Lepisosteus oculatus: one gene and its partners. The protein of the gene in region 2 purifies or fractionates together with the protein of the main gene of each other region. This does not show direct contact. Links are inferred from orthologs where the notes say so. Each region holds a gene or a part of one and is shown on either strand. Other genes may lie near its edges.

Region 1 (7,717 bases), on a different chromosome or scaffold from region 2:
GGTTAGTGGCAGCCATGCAGCCCCGCATGCTGGTGACGTTCGACGAGGAGCTGCGCCCGTTGGCGGTTTCTGTGCGTGTTGGACAGGTGAGTCTGGAAAGGGACCTGCAGTATGTAACCTAGTCAAGGACAGAAGTCTCAGTAACCACTTAATAAACAACCTCTGTTTGTCCATTAAATCCAGTTGAAATTATTAGATAGATACTTTATTGATCCCGTGAGGGAAATTGCAGAAAATTTCCCTTGCAGAAAATTATTGTGTTTAACTGTTATAATCAAAGCTGCAGCCCCAACTTGTGCCACATTCTTTATTAATGCATTCATTCATGATGCATAAATTACCACTGTGTAACAATTATACAGGTAATAGCTCCCCTTTAGTGACAACACTGCTAATATTCAGTAGTTAAGCTGGTATGGATAGAAAAAGACATGGCTTCAAGTGTCTTAATAAAGATGGAATGGAATAGTGCTTCACACCTAATGTAGTTCTGAGAAGCTTGCAGTCCAGATAACTGAATGATTACACTAGCTGCCATCCTGCAAGAGCAGACAGGCTGGTGTTGGGGTGTTAGTTTCATGTGTTTTGTGTGTCTCCAGGCGGTGGATGTGGTGGGACAAGCAGGGAAGCCCAAGGCCATCACAGGCTTCCAGACCCACACCACACCGGTGCTGCTGGCCCATGGGGAGAGAGCCGAGCTGGCCACCGAGGAGTACTTGCCCGTTACGCCCATCCTGGAAGGCTTCGTCATCCTGCGCAAGAACCCCAACTATGACGCCTAGAACTCCCTCACCCCCTATGGGGGCTCTCACTGCCCCTGGACTTGTCTCACTCTCATTCTGTTGTATTCTGCCCCCTGGGCTAGGAGAGCCATCTCCTGAAGAAGGAGACCACAATGCTGCGAGAGGAAAACCAGCACCCACAGATAATGCGTTTTGGCAGATGTTTATCATGTTTTTTTTCCTTTTGTAATAAGCGCATGAAATGCCAGTCTGTTATAACCAGAATTATTTTTTTTGTTTTGTTGGTTTTGTTACAGTACTGTTAAAGGTTATGTAATAAATTTATTTCTGGTCCACTCTCTGGACTGTGAAAGTTTGTTTCGGTGTGTAATTGAAGACCATAATTGAGGGGCTGTAATGTCAACAGAAAAATTATTTAAAAAACCCTACAGAATTTTATGAATGCATTGTGGACTGTCATAAACAAGGTTTGCAGTGCACAGGCAATGTTTTGGACTTGCAATAAAGTGCTATGTATTTTTTAGCATGGGACAATTTGTCAGTAAATCCATGTATTAAATATTCTAATAAAATTTCTTGTTCTCTAATTGCTTTCAAGCAGAGGGTTAAAAACTTTCAGTGTCCATTCAGTTTCGTAAAGTTTCCCAAGTCTAAACTTAATTTGAATACTAATTTGTTTCTGCTGTCATTCTGCATTGAAAACCTGTAGGTGTACTTATATTGATATATGCTGCGCTTAGTGTTCTGAGGATTTTTCTGGTACATATGGTGTTAATTTACTATACTGGTTTTCTGACTTGTGAACATCCAGTTAACCAGGTGATCATTTTAATTATATTTTCCTGCTTCCTCTGTGCTTGTCACAGAAGTTTTTCAGTGGAGCTTTGAGTGAAAGTTAAAATTAGAACATTAATTTTGACTGCTAAATAGACTTATGTTATTTTTTTATATATTTAACATAAGAGAAAATTCCTTGAAGTTTCAGACTGGAATGTGGAAGAATGTAATGCTCTCGCATACAATAGCTGCTGGCATGTCTGTGATGTTGCACATATCTCTGGGTAGAACTGCTGTACAGCCGTGCTGAAGGTCTCAGTTCCTCTGCATCCTCTCCTGTGTACATTAGAGCAGTACTCCTGATCCTGGAGTGCCAGAGCCTTGACAATTTTATAGGTAACCCACACTCCTCAGTAGCTACATTATAACTAAATTGTGATTAGGTCAATGACTCACTTTCCTCACATAATTCTAGATTTTCTTGCTCTATTCCACTCCCCTAGCAACCCTCTCACTGTATCACTGAAAAGGGTGGTGGCACTGGTTTCGTGTGTGCTGACTTAATCCTGCCTTGTCCACTCTCTTCTAACACCTTCGAGTTTCATGCTGTTTATCACACTGGGTGGAGTAATGGTGAGGACTTCAAACTATAAAAGGATGTGGATTCAACACCCAGGTGGGACACAGGTGGGTATTGAGAAAGGTACTTCTCTCAAGTTGGTTTAGTGAAGCGCCCTGTTGTATTCATGGGTAGTTAGTAAATGATAGCTTGTTCTTAACCTGCCAATCAGCTGATGTTTGTGTTACCATTTCCTAGCTGGGGTTTCCTAAATGAGTTGAAAGGCTTCCTCTCATTTATAACTTGTAATCAATTGATGTATGTGTCCCAGTCCTGTTGTTGTTTCTCCTGTCTGTCTGACATGTCAGAATCATGACTCTGGTACCCCTGAGTGGAAAGCAGTGAGGGGGTAGAAGACTCTTAGCCTTTATGCATGATTTGAACCATTGTGTGCCAGTGACTGAGCCTATGTCTCTGTTCTGTGACTGAGGAGACAAACCTGTTGGCCTGCACAGAAGCTGCTGTTGGTAAAGAACATTGTCTGGCCTGCCAGTTTACAAAATCCTCTCTACAACCCCCAACTTTTAACAAATTACACTACACTGACACTTAAGAAACCTAAACACTTAAAGCTCTATCATTTTGCTCATTGCAAATAGTTGGAATAGTGCTGTAACTAAAAACTAAGTTTGTGTGTAACCATGTCTTCTGTTTGCTTTGTGAACCCAAAAGCATATTGGTGCTGTTTTCCGTAGCTTAGCATTAGGGTTAGTGCATTTTTATCTTAGGATCACCAGTCCATCGTACTCACAAACACTAGGACTGCTTAAAGATGCCAGTTAACATAGGCAGCATGTCTCTGGGCTGCGAGAGTAAACAGGATCACCTGGAGTAATCCAACAGGGTAACTAGGAGAAATGCAGACTTCACACGGAATCACCCCAAGCCAGAAGCAAACCCTGGAACCAGGAGCTGCAAGGCAGCAGTGCTAACCATCACACTACTACGACACACTCATTATGTGCTGTTATGGTAGTTTAGCATTCGGAAAATATAGGAGATGAAAATGAATCTTCTGAACCCAAAGATCAGTTGCTCTTTAGTCAGTAATATACTTTCATTTAATAAATTTTGAGGTTAGTTTTTGTTCAATTTAACTAAAAACGCACTGGTAAAAATTGGCTACATTGGTCAGCACAGACAAGATAACAGATGAAAGAAAACGTTTCAGCCGTGGAGCCTTCTTCTGGTGTCAACACCTGAAGAAGGCTCCATGGCTGAAACGTGGTTTCTTTCTTCTTTTTTTCAGCATGGAATAAACCTATCACTTATTCCTTTGCAGCCTACGCATGCTGACGCAGCTACCCACCCAAGATAACAGATGGAAAGAAGGGGATGCTGTGACTAGCAGTAGATAAGTCACCTCCAGCTATTTCTGCTGGCCCAAACACTTTAATCATATGTGTGAAAAGCATAAATTTGATGCTTTTTAAAAAGGCAGTGCATTGTTGTGCTCCACTGTCACCACACTGTCAACTGAAGGTCATTCCACTGTGTTACAAATTGTGAATGTGCTTATCACATTTCAAGGAAAAGCAATTCCTGGTGAGGAAAAGCACATTTTTGTGTTGCTTTTATTAAGAAATATAGAGGATATAGAAAGCCTGCACTCAGGTTTTGCTCTTTTGTGGTGTCAGATGTGACACGTGATCAACCAATGGTTTCAAGTAACCATAAGAACTGGGACACATTCACTTCGGGTAAATCTTGGTGTGAAGTGTAGGGTGTAAAATTCAGTATTGGATTGTATACTCTTCTGAGGCAATAACTGCATGGTGTCCACAAACCTCTGATCTCACCAAACTCGTTTGTTGAAATATTTTAGATACTTTGCTGTAGTAACTCAGAGTCAGTGTTCTGAGTTGCAAAATCAGTGCACAACTGGATTTCAACCTGGATCTTCAACCAAGACCTTGGTTGCGTTGGCTGTATGCTTTGGATCACTGTTGAACTGCATGGTATAGCACTGGCGAGTAAGTATGGCAGTATTTTCTTCTTTAAAATCAGATTAAATGTTTCTGTAAACTTCAGAATACATTCTACTGGTGCATTCATTAGTTGTATAATCAATTCTAGCAGCAGCTCTGCCCACCAGCTACTCTTCTATATTATATGCAGTATAGATGAGTCCTGAGGGTTATGACTCAGGGAAAGATGGAAGGAAAAGGGGATATCATGACTAATAGTGAACAAGCCAGCAGCAGCTATTTCTTCTGGTCACTACACGTTAAACCTCAGTTAACCTTCCTGATTTAAGTACCTTTCTGTGGAGAGACAAAATGAGGTTCCATTGAAAACATTCAGACACAGTCCGTGATTTAAAATAAGTTTCAGTATCAATAGTTACATTGACCCCTCAGACATTGAAGGCTGCCCACTCTGTTGCATTAAGAAAATCTATGTGTTTGCAACAGTTGCTACACAGCCCCACCCACACTTGCAAAAAAGACCCAGCAAGTCTAGATCCTATTATGACCTTTTCTGTGAGGTCACATTCAACATTGAACCTGCCCAAATCTAGCAAGCTTACTTGCACATGGTCAGGTAATGCCACGTATCGTTCTTGAGCAAGTGACAAAAAACAACTTTGTTTATTCTCTAAAAAGCATTTTTCTTATTGGAACGATTGGCAGTCTCAGGTCACATGACGAGGGTGAAGAATTCCTGCCGCCCTAGTCACATGACAAGAGTGTGAGGATTCCCATTGTAATTAACCCGGAAGTCTCTCACGGTTTCCGTGAGGCTCCGTCCGGCTTTGCGGACTCAAGGAGAGAAAGGTAATGATATGGCTCTTCACTTCACTCTTTGCTAAATCTGTATCGTGTGGACACATTGCCGTCAATCCGTGTGCATCTGCGCTTTAAACATGGAGCTCCGGCACAGAAGCTCTCATTCGGGACACATGCTCACCCAATAAGATATATTTAAAGCAGTATTGATTTATTTGATTTCTCCTTTTTTTGTTTTTCTCGTATGCTTCCAGGGGATTTAAAACACACTTCTCGCCTAGATCAGCAGCCCCCCTTTCCCCCAAAAAAAGGTTAGGACACCCTCTTTCCCTTGGAACTGGAGCCGAAGAAGCGATTTATAGGTTTGGGGGAAAAAGTGAATAGAAACGGACGAAGTACGGAGACAGAAAAGATCTTTTCTCTGTGAGCCCTTGTTCTGTCCCCTCTCTGCATGTCCTTTATTCACTTTAGGTAAGCAGTCTCTGGGTTTTATTTTCTTCTTTTTTTCCTGGGAATAGCTGTTTAAATAGTGGTTTCATTCCGGCAGTAAAAACGTTAAGTGTCTGTTTGGGGGGCTCGGTTGTTTTATATATTTCGGACTTGTTTTGCTGCTGACGGGTGGGTGAATCGAGTTGCCTTCTGTGTGCATTTTGGACAGAACTGGCATTTCTGGACCGTGTTTTCGCGTAAGCTGTTTGTCGGGAGTTGGCAAACCCGATCTCTTTAAAATTGACTTCTGCAGAAACGTTTTCACAACCGGATTGGCCGTTATGTAGACGCATTTTTTCCCAGTATCCCGGAGACAGTGTAGTTAAAATGTAGCTGGAAGAGCCCGTATTACTTTTTCGCTTGTGAAGCAAGAATATCATTGGGTTGCAGTGCCACAATACTGGAGCCCGACTCGGGGTAGGCCCCAAGCTTTTTAATTATTTATAATGAAAATAAATGGAAATGTCGGGATTTATACTCCGTAAAGCTTGGGGTTTATAATGATGCCTCGCCGGCCTGTGTCACGGAATCTCTTCTTGGTGATTATTTGTTAGATTCAAATCGCTGCGTGTTTTTAAACAAGATCACTGTCTTCTTGGACTGCGTGCATTCACGCAGATGGGGTTGCTACGCTAGGCCCCCTCGATGGGAGCCCAGGCCCTTCATAGTTCGGTGAAGCTCGGCTGCTTCTTGTAAAATATGGTGGGAAGGGGAGGCAAACCACTGAAGCAGAGGGATTGAGATATAATCTTTGAGTAGTTTGGAGTCGGACCTTATTGTTAAGTTTTGCGCCGGGAGTGAAAAGTCGATTTGCCCCTGTTGAGCGCTGATTGGGAGGACCGACCTACCATATGCTCGGCTGAGAGAGACAGCGTGACTTTAGAGAACCGGCTTCCTCCTACTGCTTGGACACGTACTTTAAACGGGTAGATGAGTCAGTGTTTTCGAATTTTTTTAAGGGATCGGTGTTTTTTTTAAAGGGTGGGTATAAGTTTTAAAAATGCTGCGTTCTCTCTATCGGCCAGTGGGGAAACTGCCTTTCTTGACTCTTAAAAGGCATTGCTTGTCACTTGAGGTCGAGACATTTTTTGTCCTCTTCTAAAAATAAAATGCTGTGGGAGGATAAGCGAGTTTAATTGGGTTTGTTGTGTTTACTGTTTACAGTTAATGTTCAGGACGCTAAATTGGACTTCAAACTCATAAATAGGTACATCTGGTTGGAAGTTCGAGGCCTTCACAGCTCCTCCAGTCTCCTCGCTTCTGGCGATTTTTTAAAATGTGTCTGTACGTTTTTCAGAAGTCGAAATTAAGTTTTGCCGGTTTCCATGTTATACTAGGTAAAAACGTGTTTTATTTATTTCGTAGACGATTTTTTCCAAAGGGTGGCCTTGATCGCAATGTGCATTGACATTTCTGATGGTGGGAACTTATTTTTTTCATTGTTTAATGTACTTTAGGGCTTGGTTGAACCGGTTTTTTCGTTCGGTTGACGTTACAGGGTGCACGACCGGGGGTCTGCGTTATCGTGCGTACGCTGCACTGTTTACAGTCGTTTTGAATGACACTCGGTTTGAGAAAAACGGGAACGTGTTAGGACGATACATCTGCTCGGGTATGTGTGTTTATCCTTATTATTAATTGTAGTAGTATTAGGGGGCGAAAAGACGGACACGGCTGAGTTGTCATTAAAGTTGTGGCGCTTTGCTTTCCCCTTCTCTGTGAAATAGTGACACGTACCGCGTATGGAGAGACTTATATACGTCTTTCTAAATGGCATTACGATATCGATACGGCTCACAACCACCCTTATCCCCCGAGTTCGAGCCTTGTTTGTTTTTGTGGAGTTGGTTTCGAGAGTGAGACGGGGGAGTTATTTTCTGAAGCGGGCCCTTTTTTCTGAAAGTCGAGTTTTCCATCATGGCTGGCAGAGATGGGGGGGATGACACGTTGAGTGTGCCGAGAGGGAGGCCGGGCACTGCGGGGACCAATCCGGAACTTTTAGACCTCTCATTTTAGGATTTGGACACGATTGCTTAACGGACTCACCTTTACTGACCCTGTTGTTGGACAAAACCGTTTAGGCCTCTGTTATTTTGCAATCGTTTTGCAATCCAAGAGGTAGGTTAGTTGTTTCATTACCGTAAATTCACCGAATTAAGCGAAGCTAAATCGCATTTGGCGTATGAAGAGAAGTTTATCAAGGCTGCGGATCCTTACACAGTTTGGGTAGCAGATATAGACATTTCCCGGGGTGTATTTTTGGGGAGTGAAAACGACACGTTGTAACACTGCCGTCCTGGTGAGAGAGAGAGCGGCGTTCAAGGCCTACATAGTAAGGTCGTGAAAAACTCGCGTATTTC
Region 2 (7,926 bases):
AGTGGAAACTGTGGGTCACCCCAGACACCGAGAAACAGGGAGCATTCAGGCTTAAAAGGGCAGCTTCCAACACGTAATCAAGAATTTGTTACAAAGCTCTCGCACTTTAACTCGGGGTTGGGGTGGGGGGGGGGGAGGTTTGTTCATAAATCTACACTGTTTGGAGAAAAACGTCTTATAAAACGATAGACGGATGACTGATTTATGAAAATGATTTTAAACAAAAGAAAAATGATTATAAGCCTCTTTAATTTGCACACATCTCAATTTACTCTTTTTGAAAATATTTACAAATGCAGATGTATCAAGAGAAAATGTGTTTTTTTTACAATACAGGAAAATATTAATTTGTAGTGACACTTCTGTATTCTGGTCATTCTGCATCTGAACTCAGGCATTGTTAAAAACCTGGTGCTTGAAATAATGCTTAAAGTCATTTAACATGACATTCACAGCTTATCATTTAATCACCTAAATAACCTGAATACACCTTTTTTTTACAGAACTCCCAACTACCACAAAATAAAGAAAAGGTGTTAACAGTCCAAGCAGGCAACACCTGAGAATTGCTTCATTTATTAAGCAAGAAAAAGCACAGGCTTGGCGTTTCATGAACATGACCCCGATGAATCTGATGTCCTTCTTGTTCACTCACCATCTCCTTCCAGGTCATCCGTCTCATCTGCCCAGCTGGTGGGCTTGGCCGTGGGGTAGCTAGGGGTGCTGCCACCACTGTCCTCTGCCAGGAAATCGGTCAGAGTTAAGGTCTTCCCCTTCTTGTTCTTCTTCTTACCTGAGGATAAACAAAAAAAAAATAATGGCTTTGTTGTAAAGGAAACATTCCTGCTGATATAATGCCATGATCTCCCCAAATTAAACTAAGATAAGGAATTAAGGTGTTTCACCAACAAATACATTTGAACCAGAAACATTTTTTCCACCTCAGTATAATCTGTACAAGAGTCCACAGTTCCTTAAACATTGCAAAGACTAGGCTGCTACACAAACAGGATCCAGTCTGGTTGCCAGGCATGGACTGAAAGATGCCTATGATATGAGCATGGAGACTGACCCCGAGGTGCTGTGACTCCAGACAAATCAGGAGTAGGCAACGTGAGTGTACAAAAGGTCATACTGCCACCCTCAGTGTTTAACCTGCTTCTGTGGCTTGTAAATCAAGACAAGTTCTGTATGATTGCCATGATATACTCTGCAGATGTTGATGAGAGGTACACAAAAATAAAGAGGCGGTTCACAGGTTACTGTGCCAGTATCATGATTTTTCAAAAAAGGATGCTCTGCTACTATAAACTTATTATACTAAGTCATCCCCACACCAAGAGAACATCAGTGCATAATCAAAAAAAGGGAACCTTACTTTCAAGAATATTAAAATAATTATCCCAAACTACAAAAAAATAACAAGATATGTTTATTCTGAAAAACAGCAGCAGAGATGAAATACCAACATAAGAACACAATGTGGCAAAATCAGTTTCCGAAAAGTTATTTTTGCTAGATCACAATTGTATTACAAATCTAGTTAAATCTCTGCTACAGATCATTTCCTTAATAAGATTCCATTCTTCAGAAATTAAAAGGGTAAACAGCAAGTTCTTAACTGTTAAAACCCTGCATATTTTGTTACCGTACTCTTAAGGGAAAAAACTCTATTTATACAACACATTTCATCCTGAAACACCCCAAACACATTACATATAGGAAGGGAATCACTTCATCCACCACTGAATAGCAGCACCACCTGGGTGATATGTAGCTGCTATTCTCCACCAGCTTACCTACTGCAGTCCTAAAACAGCAACATTTGTACTTTTATCCAAACTGTGGTCACCCACGTACTTCATAGATGAACTCACATGCTCCAGACCAGCAGAAGTAAGAACCCCAAAAAGGTTAAACAAATTAAATTACCAAGAGAAACAACAAGAACTGACAAAGTAATGATTATGGGTTAAAGAGCAGATGAGAAGTATAACCCAAACATCCACCTACACTAATGTATCACATAAGCACTACACTCCCCTGCCCTCAAGGATGCAGTTTCAGTCTGACTGGGAGTTCAGTCAGATATTCACAAAGATATTTATAAAACTTCCCAAGAGTTTCTGCAATACATCATAATCATTAAAACCACAATTAAACCCTTGTAACCCAGACAAATATGTACTTACATGTAGTGCCTGGATTTAAAAGAAAGACTATAAAGTCCTGTCTCCTTTCTTACAAAAAATGAAATGTTTGCAACATGTGCAGATTCCGCAAAGGGGTCTTTCACCGGTCTGACAAAATAATCAAATTAAAAACCGTTTGGATAGATGATGAGGAGAAACATCTGCCTTTTTTTTCTTCAGCATGAGAGGTTACAGAGGTGAGACAAGGAAAATATCTGGGAACAGCGTTGGCCTAGAAAACACAGGACCGGGACAGAGCTCTAAATGGGGGCTGTGCTATATGTATGAAGCAAGAGGCAAGATGACCCCAGCATGTGTGCTCAACACAGAGGCTCACAAAACACTGATGCTAATCCATTACCAGAGTTAAAGATTACCGATTGGTGATGACTTTTGCATCAATTTCTCTTTGTGTTCCTGGCCTTTCCTTACTCAGGATATTCCACTGGCTCGACAGCCTGAAAATTACTTTAATTCAAAACAATTTTGCCATTTCCTGGAATCAATAAATAATCCTTCAATTAAATTCTAAAATCACCATGTCTCATTCTTCAGCTCACACAAATGAGCATCTGCTTCAGTAGCAAAGCCCTTTAAGTTGAGTATTTTTGTACCACTAAGACGAGAATGAATTTCCATGAGGAAAAATGATTTTTGACAAGGACAAACTGGTGCACAGTTTTACAGCAGGGCACTTACTGGAACAAGTGAAGCTTACTGAGTGAAGTACGTTGCTCAAGACCACAACAGTATTGCTCCAGACAAAATTTGAACCTGTGATCTTCCAGTCTGCCATCCAGAGCCCTAACCGCTACTCCGATTAATTTAACGTTAAAAACAAGAAGAACAAAGTCTTTTTATTGGCAGGTCAACCGCAACTGGGTGCATTCAGACAGTTTACATCTGAAACAAGATAAAAAAGTCCACCCGTAAGTCAGACAACCATCTCAGACCAGTTTAGAAGCACAACATGTTCATTCAGGAAATCAAATGTTTTGGATGATTAATAAAAAATGTTCAGACTGTGGTCTAGCATGCATTGCACCATCCCCTGCGTTTGGTTACTTGACTTCACCCAGGAATGCAGTGAACAAGGGGATTAGAAAGAAAAAATGGAATACATAGATAGAATGCATCCCAGAAAAAAAAAGTGATAGAAATCTCATTCTCTCCTATACTCCAACAAAAAAAAAATCAAAGGTTTTTAAGACTTTGAAATGTTCTCTTTTTTGCCAGTGGGAATTTTGCTAGTGTTCAGTACTTTCACTAATCTAATCAACTAAGGAAGAACCATTACTATGATCATTAAAATGGCACAAAGACCCCCCCCCCCCCCCCCCCCCAACACAATCCAAAACACGGGGCTCAGGCAGCTGTAACCTCAGCATGCTTAGGTAATCCAGCAAGACCAACTCGGTGTCCTTTCAGATGCTGGCAGGAAAACCTTCCATTCTAACTGGTGCATACCCACATAAAAGCTCAAGACGAGCGGAGCTCAGCGAAGGAGTGTAAACGTTCAATAAGAGGCCAAAGAAAACCGTCTCTTCACTTCTTTGCCTTTTTTTTATCTCGGAATGACAGCAGGCGGCTTTGCCCCTGGTAGTAAACAAAGCAGGGTGTGATGCACACGCCCAGCCTTTGAGATGGCGTACAAAAGGACTGGTATAGACCGACGAGATCGACTTACCACCCAACGTAACTCGACAGCGTTTCAACCAGCAATTACATAAGGCATCTTCAGTGACAACTGCTGTTTCACTACGACTGCAGCTTCCGCCGGAGCTATAAACCCTGGGACCACGGCCATACACACGCCCTTTTGTAGAAGAAGTCGCGCTACAAGCGTGATCAAACGGAGGCGCTACTTCACCGTGGTGAAAACGGAGCGGTTTATTAAAATAGAACTACGCCTGTATCCCCTCCCCCCCTTCTCATCTGACAGTTTTTGAGCTCACAGAGCCTGTTCCTAAAACCAAGTTAATAACTGAATCGTCAGCGATCTGTGCGGATGGTTGGGAAAACAGCAGACGATCGGAAAAAGCACTTGGACTTCTGACAGCACGTCTGGGTCCAGACTGGAACGCGTGATGAGACACTCACGGGGGGTAGGGGGGACGGGGCTGTTCCACTATTCTGTATGAACATAAGCCTCAATGCTTCAGCACGACCAGCCGACTCGAATCGGGACATCGCGTACGGACAAACCAGACGGGTGCCAGAACTTCACACCACACACAAAAAAAAGCCCATCGCAAACAGGGCCCTGTTCCTCACAGCGCTCCGACACGCGTGACTCAAATCCAGCTAGGCCTTAGCCATTTATTCTAACTCATTTGCGATTGGCTTGCCAGATACAGGCTCCCCCCCTCCTCCCACTGCTAAGGCCGCGCCATGCCGATTTTTGCCTCTGAACGGCTCAGTGCGGGAAGGGAGATAGGAGAGAGCTCAAGGGATCATGTACGGGAGGGGGCATTAGCACACACGACCATGCTTGCCCGTCGGCCCCGCCAGCTCGCCCTGCACGCTGGCGATCTTGCCCCCACCCGAGATACACGTGGGGAGCTCCTCCATGCCCCACAACACACCTCCGCCCGTCACCGCGCCTGCGCCGCCGCGCAGACAGGGCGCCTGCTTCTACAGCGCCGGGCGGGGGGCACAATGTGGCAATCGGTCCGAGTGCATGCGCAGCAATCGGGCCGCAACAGCACTGCATGTGACAATCCCGGCCTAGCCTAAAATAAAGAAAAGAAAAGCCCAGGGGCCTCGGTGTGGCAGAGCCCCAGGGAGACCCCGCGCAATGTGGCGCAGATTCACGGATAATATCCGGCAAAGCGCCGCGAATCCGCCCCCCCCCCTCGCCTCCCCGGCTCCGTCCGCTAGCGAAGTCTGGACTTTCCAGCCCCGTGCCCGACTCCATTTCAACACACAAACAGCCTGCCCCGCGACGAGGATAACCTTCCTCCTTATTCTGTCGAGTCAGTCGCGTCCGACAGCCCTTCTCCCAACCCTATATCCCCGCACCGGCCCAGCTCCTCTCCCCACATAAACCTCACCTGACGACGCCATGATGGAGAGTGAGTCCGTGTCAGAGTCCCGGATGGAGGCGTCACGTGCTTATCGCCGGGAGCGCGCATTCGTGCCCGTGGCGTACGCGCGGAATAAAATGTCCTCTCCAGCAGTAGGCAGTCACCGCCCTAAGGAAGATATATTTATGTTTATTTTAATTCCAGTAAAAGAGAATTCATTCCCCTTTCTACTGAACGGACGTTAACGTTTGTTCGATGGTTTTAAATGGAAAAGGAGAGTATTTTTTTCTTTTCTGAACTTTTCAAGCAGAATTTGTATAAATCAGTATTTACTGTAAATAAATTCAGGAATTGAATCAGTCGGTAATTTTAACTCTATCACTAATGACAGCTTAAGGTGATACTGCGATGTCCAAGCACAGAAAGGAATCAGAAGGAGTCTATCATTGTGCCCCATTCTGTGACAGGCGATTTCAACATCCTGTGCAATATTGAAAGAGAATTCAAAGAATTTCCATTTTCGTTGTAGCTTCAAAACCTACCATGCAGGTGTCCTGTGCCATTCCACCTTGATATGTTACCTGAAATCGTGACATCTTATAACCGTGCCTATAATACTGTGTAATAATATACTGGTTAAGATTACAAGATCATGTTAGCAAAGGCAGATCTCACAAAACTCCACATGGCACATACATCTCACGTACTTCCTCAAAGGCATTGAAGTCGACCCAGAGGATGTCTTCACAGACAGTGAAACAAATTAGAGGATAATGCGGAAATTATGTTTAAGTGCGTTTAAAACCTAGAACATAGAAGAGAGGGCAATTCTTTAGCCAAAGGGTTGTGGGAGTCTGGAACAAGCTGCCAAGCCAAGCTATTGAAGCCCATACCCTACTGAGCCCACCTACATCATGCTATGGGAGAGAAGACAGAATGCAGTGCAAATTACCCAAGTATCCATCAGACATCGCAGCTGACCATGTAAGTACGTGCACATGCGCTGGCTGCTCCTCCTCATTGTGGAAAACACAAAATTACTTTCTGCCACTAGATGGCAGTAATGCACTACATACAGAACTACTATGCGGCGTTTCTTACATGAGGCACATACTGTATCAGGGTTCCATATCGTAATGAGATAAACCAGCTAGTAACAGGCTTAACTGGACCAATTTAACAGCCTTTTCCAGCTCTTCAGTTGCTGCTGCTTTAAAACCCTGCAGACACACTGACCCTGCAGGACCAGGACTGGACACCCTGCAGACACACTGACCCCCCAGGACCAGGACTAGACACCCTGCAGACACACTGACCCACCAGGAGCAGGACTGGACACCCTGCAGACACACTGACCCCCCAGGACCAGGACGACACCCTGCAGACACACTGACCCTGCAGGACCAGGACTGGACACCCTGCAGACACACTGACCCCCCAGGACCAGGACTGGACACCCTGCAGACACACTGACCCCCCAGGACCAGGACTGGACACCCTGCAGACACACTGACCCACCAGGAGGAGGATTGGACACCCTGCAGACACACTGACCCCCCCAGGAGCAGGACTGGACACCCTGCAGACACACTGACCCCCCAGGAGCAGGACTGGACACCCTGCAGACACACTGACCCCCCAGGACCAGGACTGGACACCCTGCAGACACACTGACCCTGCAGGACCAGGACTGAACACTCTGCAGACACACTGACCCACCAGGACCAGGACTGGACACCCTGCAGACACACTGACCCTGCAGGACCAGGACGACACCCTGCAGACACACTGACCCCCCAGGACCAGGACGACACCCTGCAGACACACTGACCCTGCAGGAGCAGGACTGGACACCCTGCAGACACACTGACCCCCCAGGACCAGGACTGGACACCCTGCAGACACACTGACCCCCCAGGACCAGCACTGTATGTTGCCTGGCATATATATCTGAATGCAAAATGAAAACACAGTGGTGTAAGGTTACATTAATATCCAAATGAACAAATAGTGAAAAAAACATTTTTGTAGAAAAACCATTGAGTAGGTTTGTTCTGTGGATTAGCAAAATATTCAATTTAAGTCATGGGATTCTTAAAATTGCCATGTTCACAGTATTTGGTATTTGAATTGAGTTCAAAAACAGCCATTTAATAAGGCAGAATTTTAAACAATACCAAACAATGACAGGTACATGCCCCATCTGATTAAAGATTAGAGATGCCTAGCTGCTATCAGCGGAATTGAAGCCCATCAAGGAAAAGTTGCCCCAGAGAATTAAATGGAATGGCTTTCAGCAACGAGCAGACTACTGTCGAAAATCCAGGAAACTGGCTCTGTGTGGGACAGACCACATCATGAATAGCAGAGGATCATGACTATGGCCCGCGAGCACTGCATTGAAGTGCATTTAAAAATGGGGTGTGGGAGTCTGGAACAAGCTACCCAGCCATGTCATTGAAGCCGATACCCTGACGACCTTCAAGAGACAGCCAAATAAGAACCATAGATCAATTAACTGCTAACTACTAAACAGGCTATCCATCCAATCATTTTCTAAATGCTTCATCCAATTTAGGGTTTCAGGGGAGCCAGAGCGTATCCAGACAAGCAATGCGAGCAAGGCAGTATACACCCTGGGCAAAACACCAGTCCCTCACAGGATAAACACACAGACATACTCACACCAGGGCCAATTTTCACAGAAG
Region 3 (7,357 bases), on a different chromosome or scaffold from region 2:
TCTCTTCATGTTTTTATAAAAGAACAATAAAGATAACAGATGTATGATGTTGCAAACACGTTTTCTCCTCGTCAAGCTCCTGCGGGATAAGGACATTAAAACAGACCCAAGGCCCGGTGACTTCAGCTTCACGGTTAAGTTGAGACATGTCAGTGGACTGAGAGTCAAACTCGGGGACAGTGGAATTGGTTCTGGTTGGCCAGCTGGGGCTGTACCCTGCACAGAAGAGGTTTCTCCCCTCAGGTGAGATCAACCCCAGAGCTGGACAGCCCTGCGCTCCTCCCGTCTCGCGTTCGTAGCCCTGTAATTGAGCTCAGGGTTTGGCCAGACTGGACAACGGAACCTCGCTGTCCAGGTAGGGGTTTTAAGAGTTTAGAACCCTGCAGCACAGGGGTCTTGTACCACCAGGGCACCCCACGACCCCCTTGACCAACTCTGCATTCCCAGTAGAAACGCGTCGTCTGGTTTCCTATTAAAACTGTACCACTCTGAACCGCCCGTTTCTTTGATATCACGATCGTGTACGGTTGCGGTCCTGCTGGTTAAGTGTTTGGGGGTGTAAGGCGCTGTGCTGCGCTGAGCCCTGGGCTGCCTGCAGAACTGCGTGTTCGCGTTCCAGCCTGTGCGCGTCTAGGACCGCTCCCCTGCCGCTGTTCGGCGCCTCCTTCAGCATCAGGAAGGAAAAGGGAGAAGCGCCGATCGCTTTTCAGCGGCTGCGTCGTCGTAAGCGAGCACAGTGCACTGTAAGGTTTCGCAAAACTGCTTTCAAATACGGCAGGAGCTCCACTGGTGCTCAGCCACTGTCCTGCGGACTCCTACAGGAGAGGGACTGAGCTGTGGGATTAACGGGATGATTAAACTGTCTGTGTCGGACTCCAGCTCTCTGTTTTTTTTTTATTCCGTTTTAATTATTTCAAACAAGAAAATGAAATGTGTTTATTGAACGAATATATGTATATATGATTCTCAAAGATGCTGATTTCTCTCTTATAAACGCACTCTAAAGCTGCAGTAGAATTAAATAATAATGCTGTAATGATGCATTTATAAAAATGCCACGTTCTACGCTAAACCAAGCTGCGAGGTAACACCAATGAAACACCAAGCAGAAAATCGGGCTCTTCTTTTGAGCTCAGCCCCAGAATGCCCTGCTTTCAAGGAGGCCTGGACCTGACACACTGTAGATTAAGATCACTTTATTGGCCATATACAATTTCTTGCAGTAGGAATTTGTCTTTTTTGCATACCCCAGCTTGCTCTCCATGAGACACACAGACAGGGAGAGAAGCTTGAAGTCAGCACGCAGGGTCAGTCATTTATACGGCACCCCTGGAGCAGCTGGGGTGAAGGGCCTTGCTCAGGGGCCCAACGGAATAGGATTCCTCTGCTGGCCGCAGGATTTGAACTGACAACCTTCCAGCCACAGGCGCAGATCCTTGCCCACAGAGCCACCAGTGCACTTAATTGTGCACTGGAGCCCAGGAGAGGAACCACCAGCCGGCTGTAGGCCATCATTCGTAAGACTGATAATAATAATAATAATAATAATAATAATAATAATAATAATAATAATTGCTCACACTTTTATAGCGCTTTTCGGGACACTCCGCTCTTTACAGATAATGTAATAAACATGGGATTCTTTTCTACTGAAATCTGTTCACTACTGCAAACGCACTGATTTCCACCACACCGGTCTCTGCTGCTGGCCATTCCCCGAGACGAGCCTGCTTTTGGAACCGAACTTTCCCTCGGATCCTTTAGAACTGCCGAGCCGCGGTCCGGGATGAAAGGCTGTACTCTGGAGGGGCCCGCCGAACTCGATTAAGATCCGGTTGCGGTGCAACACGGCGTAACAGCCTCATGAATCAGGCTGCATTAAGATGGAGAGTTTATTCAAACGCGTCTCTGCCTTCTTCCCCTGCGTGGAACAAACTCTAGGACGCGTTCTGCGCGCTACACCCCAGAGCGCGAGTGGTGCTCATAATTATATCTTAAACGACCTTAAAAAACTTTGGATCTCATGTTTAATAGCAAATTCTGTTTGCACAGCACAAGTATTTTTATGCAACGTGGTGACGAATTGCATTCTGTAGATTCTGATGCATTTTTCATTGTGTAGCTAAATATGTCCCCATCAGCATAATCTCATATCAATACGGTTTAAGACCACGAAATGCAGGTTTGAAAGCTTTGAATATACGGTTTAGCCTAGAAAGTAGGCGGGCAGGTGAGAAAGCCATCATGTCCCCCACGCAGCACGGCTCTGTCATGGCCACCGAGGCAAATTGGGTGTGAAATGACTCCGAGTCGACTGTCAGGTGAAAGGAAAAGCCAGTGTCAGCCTTCAGGAGGGCCGAGAGAGGGGCAAATAATGGGACACCAGTCTTCAATCTAAAACGATTAGATGCAGTGCCAGGCTGAAGCCTGTTTACAACGCTGACAGCCTGTCACATCCATTTATGTCCTAGCCTTGGCTGTCCCTGTACTGCCCCCCACTGGCAGACCGAAGGCACTGTCTCAGATCCACACATCCCCTGACAACTGTACACCAGGCTGAGGGGATGTTTTGGGGTTTAGGGCAGTGGGGTTCAGGGGGGAATAAAAGAACACACAACGAAAAAGGAAACATGACTGTAGATGTGACCAATCTCGATCAATGGCAATCTGGAACAGTTCGTCACGGGGGGTTAAAATGTCGAATGAAATGATCAAACTAAATAAGCAAAAACCTGAGCAGAAGAAAAGTTAAATCCAAGCTGCACTGTTACCACCTTGTAGCTTGATTTAATCAGGTCTCAGAAGCTCAGCAGGGCTGGGTCTGGTCAGCACTGGAAAGGGGAGGGAGAGACCTCCAGGGAAAACCAGCTTGCTGCTGTGAGTGGTGCTGGTGGCCCAGTAGTTGGACTAATACTCCAGTAGGGTGACTGGGAAACTGAGCTGTAGGAGTTCCTGAAAGTCTGAACACTGAAGGTCCTATAGAACTGTTCCATGGAGTAAGGGTGTTAACCCCAGTGTCTGGGCTAAATTCCACAATGTTGATGATCTTGGCTTTCTTCCCTGTACACTACAGTGGTCGCTGTTTTCATCTGTTGTGGTATAATCAGAATTATAGGGGAATAGTGGCAAGATTGCAAAAAACAGGATGCAAGTCAGCAAGCCTAGCTTGTTTTTGGTTGCTAGTAGCTAATAAGTCTTATGACATCCAGCTTCTTGAAATACACCTGGATATCTGTCTTGCTGGATTCTTGCTCCAGGCTCCCTCCACTCTTGATGTAAATAAGTGCCTCCTGTTCTCAGCCCTGAATGCACTTCCCTGTAGTTTCCTCTTGTGTCTTTGGGGGGGTGTTTCATTGTTCGGTGCAGGATGTTCCTTCAGAGCCCAGGAACACACCAGTCATTTGGGCTGGGACCGAGTTAGGACTGATTCCACAGCCAGGATGTTTGTGTGACAGTGAACAGAATTGTACACAGATACCGTCTTACTAGTGCATTGCACAAATTTAACACAACACCCCTGGATTCAAATTGTTTTTTTAATTTTTTTATTTGCCTTTCTTAAGGCTTTCCCACACTGACTGCAGGAGGAAGAAGATGCGGGAGCAGAAATACCTGAATTGTTTTCACAGGTGTCTTCTTCAAGCTCAGGCTGTCTTGCCTTTATTTTTATTCATGACTTTGGTACCAACACATACTGTAACACTCCTTTGCTGCCTCTACAGTGTTTTCTAGTCTACTTATTTTTCTTTCATAAATGAATTTCACTATTTACTGACTACACCTACATCTGTATTATGTATAAGAATTTGGTTAATAATAATAATAATAATAATAATAATAATAATAATAATAATAGAATGGAGGTGTTATTTATTATATTTGAAGGTCCTTCCTCTGTTGTAGTTCAAACACAAAACCTCTACAACAGTACAGCGTTGTGTGTTTGTAGGGCGCCACCTGCTGAGCGAAAGTGGAACATGTGATTATGAGAACGATAAAGATGTGCTTATCGAAGACATCACCCACTGCTGTAACTCGGAGGATAACACACTCAGTGAAATGTAGTTTGTTCATCCTATTGGAAAGTTATTTCAAGTGTTCACTCTGTAACTGTAAAAAGTACTTTTAGTGGTGTAAATAAATCATACAAATACCAGTGTTTATTATTGTGTTCTTCAATTAAAACCTACACCCTCTTAAAATGCGACTTCGGATTATTAATAACTAATCGGAATGTTAGTGAAAAGGCAGGTGAAACGTGCTCTCGGCCGAAGCGTGTGCGGCGGCAGCGGGGGACTGATTTCACAGTGACACCCCCGGAAGTGGTTTCTCAGCCCGGATGGCTTCCTGCTTCCGGCGGTAGTCGGACCCATCGATCTGCTGTTCCGTGGTTTTTCGGGCAGTTCGCGAACCCTCACAGACACAGACATTGATGATCTATCATGGCTGCTGCTGCTGTTACCGCGTCTTCGTCGGCAGAGCCGCCGGGATTGGAGACCCAGCGCGGAGAGATAGAAGATATTATCCAGGGTCACAGGCTGCGCGCCGGGGACAGCTGGTAAGGCGATCGCCGGAGAGGAAACCCGAGGCTGTGATCTGACAGGGTGTAAATTAACTCATTTTCCCCTGTCCCCCCACTTCACCTGACTGAAGATCGGTCCGCCACAGCGATCCCCTGCGTTGACTCGGTCCGTGTAGGTGCAGGGGTTTGTACGTGATGAATTCACAGCAATCGCCGAGCTGCTTTCGCTACTTTTTCATTGGAGGGGCTTGCTAGTGTAACTGCGTTCATATTGGCTTTCGGCAGCGGGGGTGTCATTTCAATCGTTCAGCTTAAAGTCCCGCACAGCCCCCTCCAGGGGAGCCGGGACATGGAGATGTCTCGGGTGGGAAAATGGAAAAGTTCAGGGCGTCCCCGATAAGTTTGTCTTGCTTGTGGGTGAGCGGTGAAGCTGCAGGTCTGAGCTGGTTTCGTTTTCTCTCCCTCTGACGTCAACTCCGAGAGAGGGAAACGACGCGGAGAGTCGGATCCGTTCACTCTCAGCAAGCCTTCGGGCCGGGCTCTTCCTGGCCGTGACTCAACCCCCGTCTTCAAGCGCTGTTCAATCACAGAGGCAGCACCAGGCGTGTCGAGCGAGCGCCTGTTGACATCCCCCTCTGTCGAGATGTCAGACCTGTACGAGCCGTGGTCCGCTCTGCATTACTGGATTTTCCAACGCGGGTTTAGCTCGTCCTGTCGGGCTGGGGCTTGATGAACAATTTTAGGATAAAGTGCCTTCTGGTTTTTGGACCGGTTGCCCGGATCGGCCGGCATGATGCGTGTTTCCTAGCGACTGTCGGGGATCGGTTTCGCAGGTGCCCGGCCTGGTGCCGTCTCGCCACTCTGCAGAGACCCGCCTGCCCGTGGGCTCTGGACCTGTTTTTCCACGACCTTTCCGGACGTGGACCTGAAAGAGTGCAGCTGCAATCGTTTGACCCGGTTAGGAGCAGGGCCATGCGTGGCGTGCACTAGTTCAAAGTATCTGCTTTCATTATTCAAAAGATGACAATTCAAAAGATAGTTTTTCCTCATTTGCCCCAAGAATTGGTTGATAAAACATTTGTTGTGCATATCCAGGTATATCAGGATGGCCTGTAATGACAAGTATGTCTAAATGGGAGAGCTTTTAGATGATGGAAGTGGAGCATCACCTCCACTCTGGGAAGGGAGTGATGTGAGTTTGTTATGGTTTTATTTGACAAAGCCTTTTGAGAAAAATTTCTCAGAGTATCTGCCGGGGGACCTGTTCCTAGCACTGGGTGTTTTAGTGGAGCGATCTGAATGGCATATCTCACTCATGGTACAACAGCTGTGCCTCACCACGGATTCGAACCCGCAACCCTGACCTCCCCCCCCCCCAACTGTGGGCTTCAGTCCTGCTCTGCAATTCCTGCCAGAGGTGCACCAACTTGTTTATTAATGTTTCATTTATCCTGGGACGAGGATCAGTTTTGCTCAGGGTTGTCTGCTTTGGGAAGTTTGAGTCTTTCTGGTCTGGAAAAAAAAAAGGAATGTGTTCATTTGCACAGGGAGCCCAGGCGGTTGTGCTCTTGTCTTGTTTGCACGCCGACAGGAGCTCACCAGCCTGACCCTGGTCCAGGCCATCCCTGACTGGCTCTCCAGCAGCCGATGCGCAGGTCCGCCGTAGCGCCGTCTGCTCCTGAGCACGCTCTCCCACTTATGTCCTCAGGCCACAGCAATGATGAGGTTTTTCTGTTTGTGTTTTTGTTATGTATCCACGCAATTCGGAATTGCCATTTGGAAGATTTCAAGTCTCGGCTGACAGCAGCAGATTGGGCAGAGCAGACAGGCTCCTACCACATGTCTTGGGCTTCTTCGCCCCCTACAGGAGGACAAGCGTCAGGACAGGCCCCGCTATGTTACTAGGAGCTGAGAGAGCTCTGCTTGACTAGTCCCTGATGGACAGCACCGTTTGGGGAATCCCTGTTACAGTGCATTAGTGATGTGACCCAGGCTCGAACCCGGGATCAGGGAGCTCAGCCTAAGCTGGGGCTCGCACCTGTACGGGAGGAGTCACTGGGGAGCCCCATACGTTTCTCAGAGGACACCCAGTGACCCTCAAAACTCGCCAAGCCGGGGAATGAAGCTTCCTGGCCACCCAGTGCAGAATCGTCGCTGCGCAGAGTGAGGGAAACCCCAGCAGCCCTGCGGCACCAGTCCGCGTGCTGTAGCTGGGCGCAGTTTGAGTCTACAGCTGGACGGGCAGAGAGGGAGCCTGTTCTGGCTCGAAGCAAGACAAGACAAGCCGGGGGTCGGCACCTCTCCCACTGCCTCTCTGGCAGGACTCCTCGTGCCCTGGCTGGGCTCGCGAGGCCTGGATCGCGGTCAGCGTCCGGCCCTCTCCCGTGACGCCAGTCCATTAGCATCTGCAGGTGAAGATTCCCCCCCTCGCTCTAGTGTGGCGAAACCTCTGGGTCAGTGAAGAGCACCCCTGGCCCAGGACACCCACAGCCCTGCAGTGGGGGGAGGTCGCCTTTCGTGTGACGTTTGGCCCACATGGAGATCCCAGCAGGCGAAAGAAGGACACAACTGACCACAGGTCTAAAGCAGATGCACTAGTTTAGTGGATAAAAATAATATACAGTTTAAGTAATGTATCATCGATTGTGTTGCCTTTCCTGGGTATATATCATCTGGCCAACAACATCCTGCTATCTGAGAAAAACAAATCAGCAGATAGAATGCTATACTTCAGCTTCCTCTGTCAGTAGCGTTTTAGAAGTCACACCTGTATTACCTCCAGCTTGCCTTATTTCTGTTACAGTGTTTTTCTGGACTATTCTTAGAATCCTTTGA

The links. The genes of interacting proteins can lie anywhere in the genome.
Region 1: the proteins of eif4ba (region 2) and eif4g1a fractionate together in Homo sapiens (co-fractionation; 4 studies listed by BioGRID, with this or other methods). This does not show direct contact. The link is inferred for Lepisosteus oculatus from reciprocal best matches to the Homo sapiens genes EIF4B and EIF4G1.
Region 3: the proteins of eif4ba (region 2) and usp11 purify together in Homo sapiens (affinity purification with western blotting; 3 studies listed by BioGRID, with this or other methods). This does not show direct contact. The link is inferred for Lepisosteus oculatus from reciprocal best matches to the Homo sapiens genes EIF4B and USP11.

What each region holds. Positions count from the first base shown.
Region 1 is NC_090708.1:18,069,623-18,077,339, forward strand, and holds the start of eif4g1a (eukaryotic translation initiation factor 4 gamma 1a), read left to right. Parts: upstream 1-4,711; 5' UTR 4,712-4,916; intron 4,917-4,922; exon of another isoform or gene 4,923-5,339; intron 5,340-7,455; exon of another isoform or gene 7,456-7,475; intron 7,476-7,717. Other genes in the region: psmd2 (26S proteasome non-ATPase regulatory subunit 2), read left to right, coding at 1-86, 600-782.
Region 2 is NC_090696.1:17,497,163-17,505,088, reverse strand, and holds the start of eif4ba (eukaryotic translation initiation factor 4Ba), read right to left. Parts: upstream 3,004-7,926; 5' UTR 2,989-3,003; coding exon 2,892-2,988; intron 794-2,891; coding exon 656-793; intron 9-655; coding exon 1-8. UniProt on the Homo sapiens protein: Required for the binding of mRNA to ribosomes. Functions in close association with EIF4-F and EIF4-A. Binds near the 5'-terminal cap of mRNA in presence of EIF-4F and ATP.
Region 3 is NC_090697.1:76,579,271-76,586,627, reverse strand, and holds the start of usp11 (ubiquitin carboxyl-terminal hydrolase 11), read left to right. Parts: upstream 1-4,351; 5' UTR 4,352-4,442; coding exon 4,443-4,558; intron 4,559-7,357.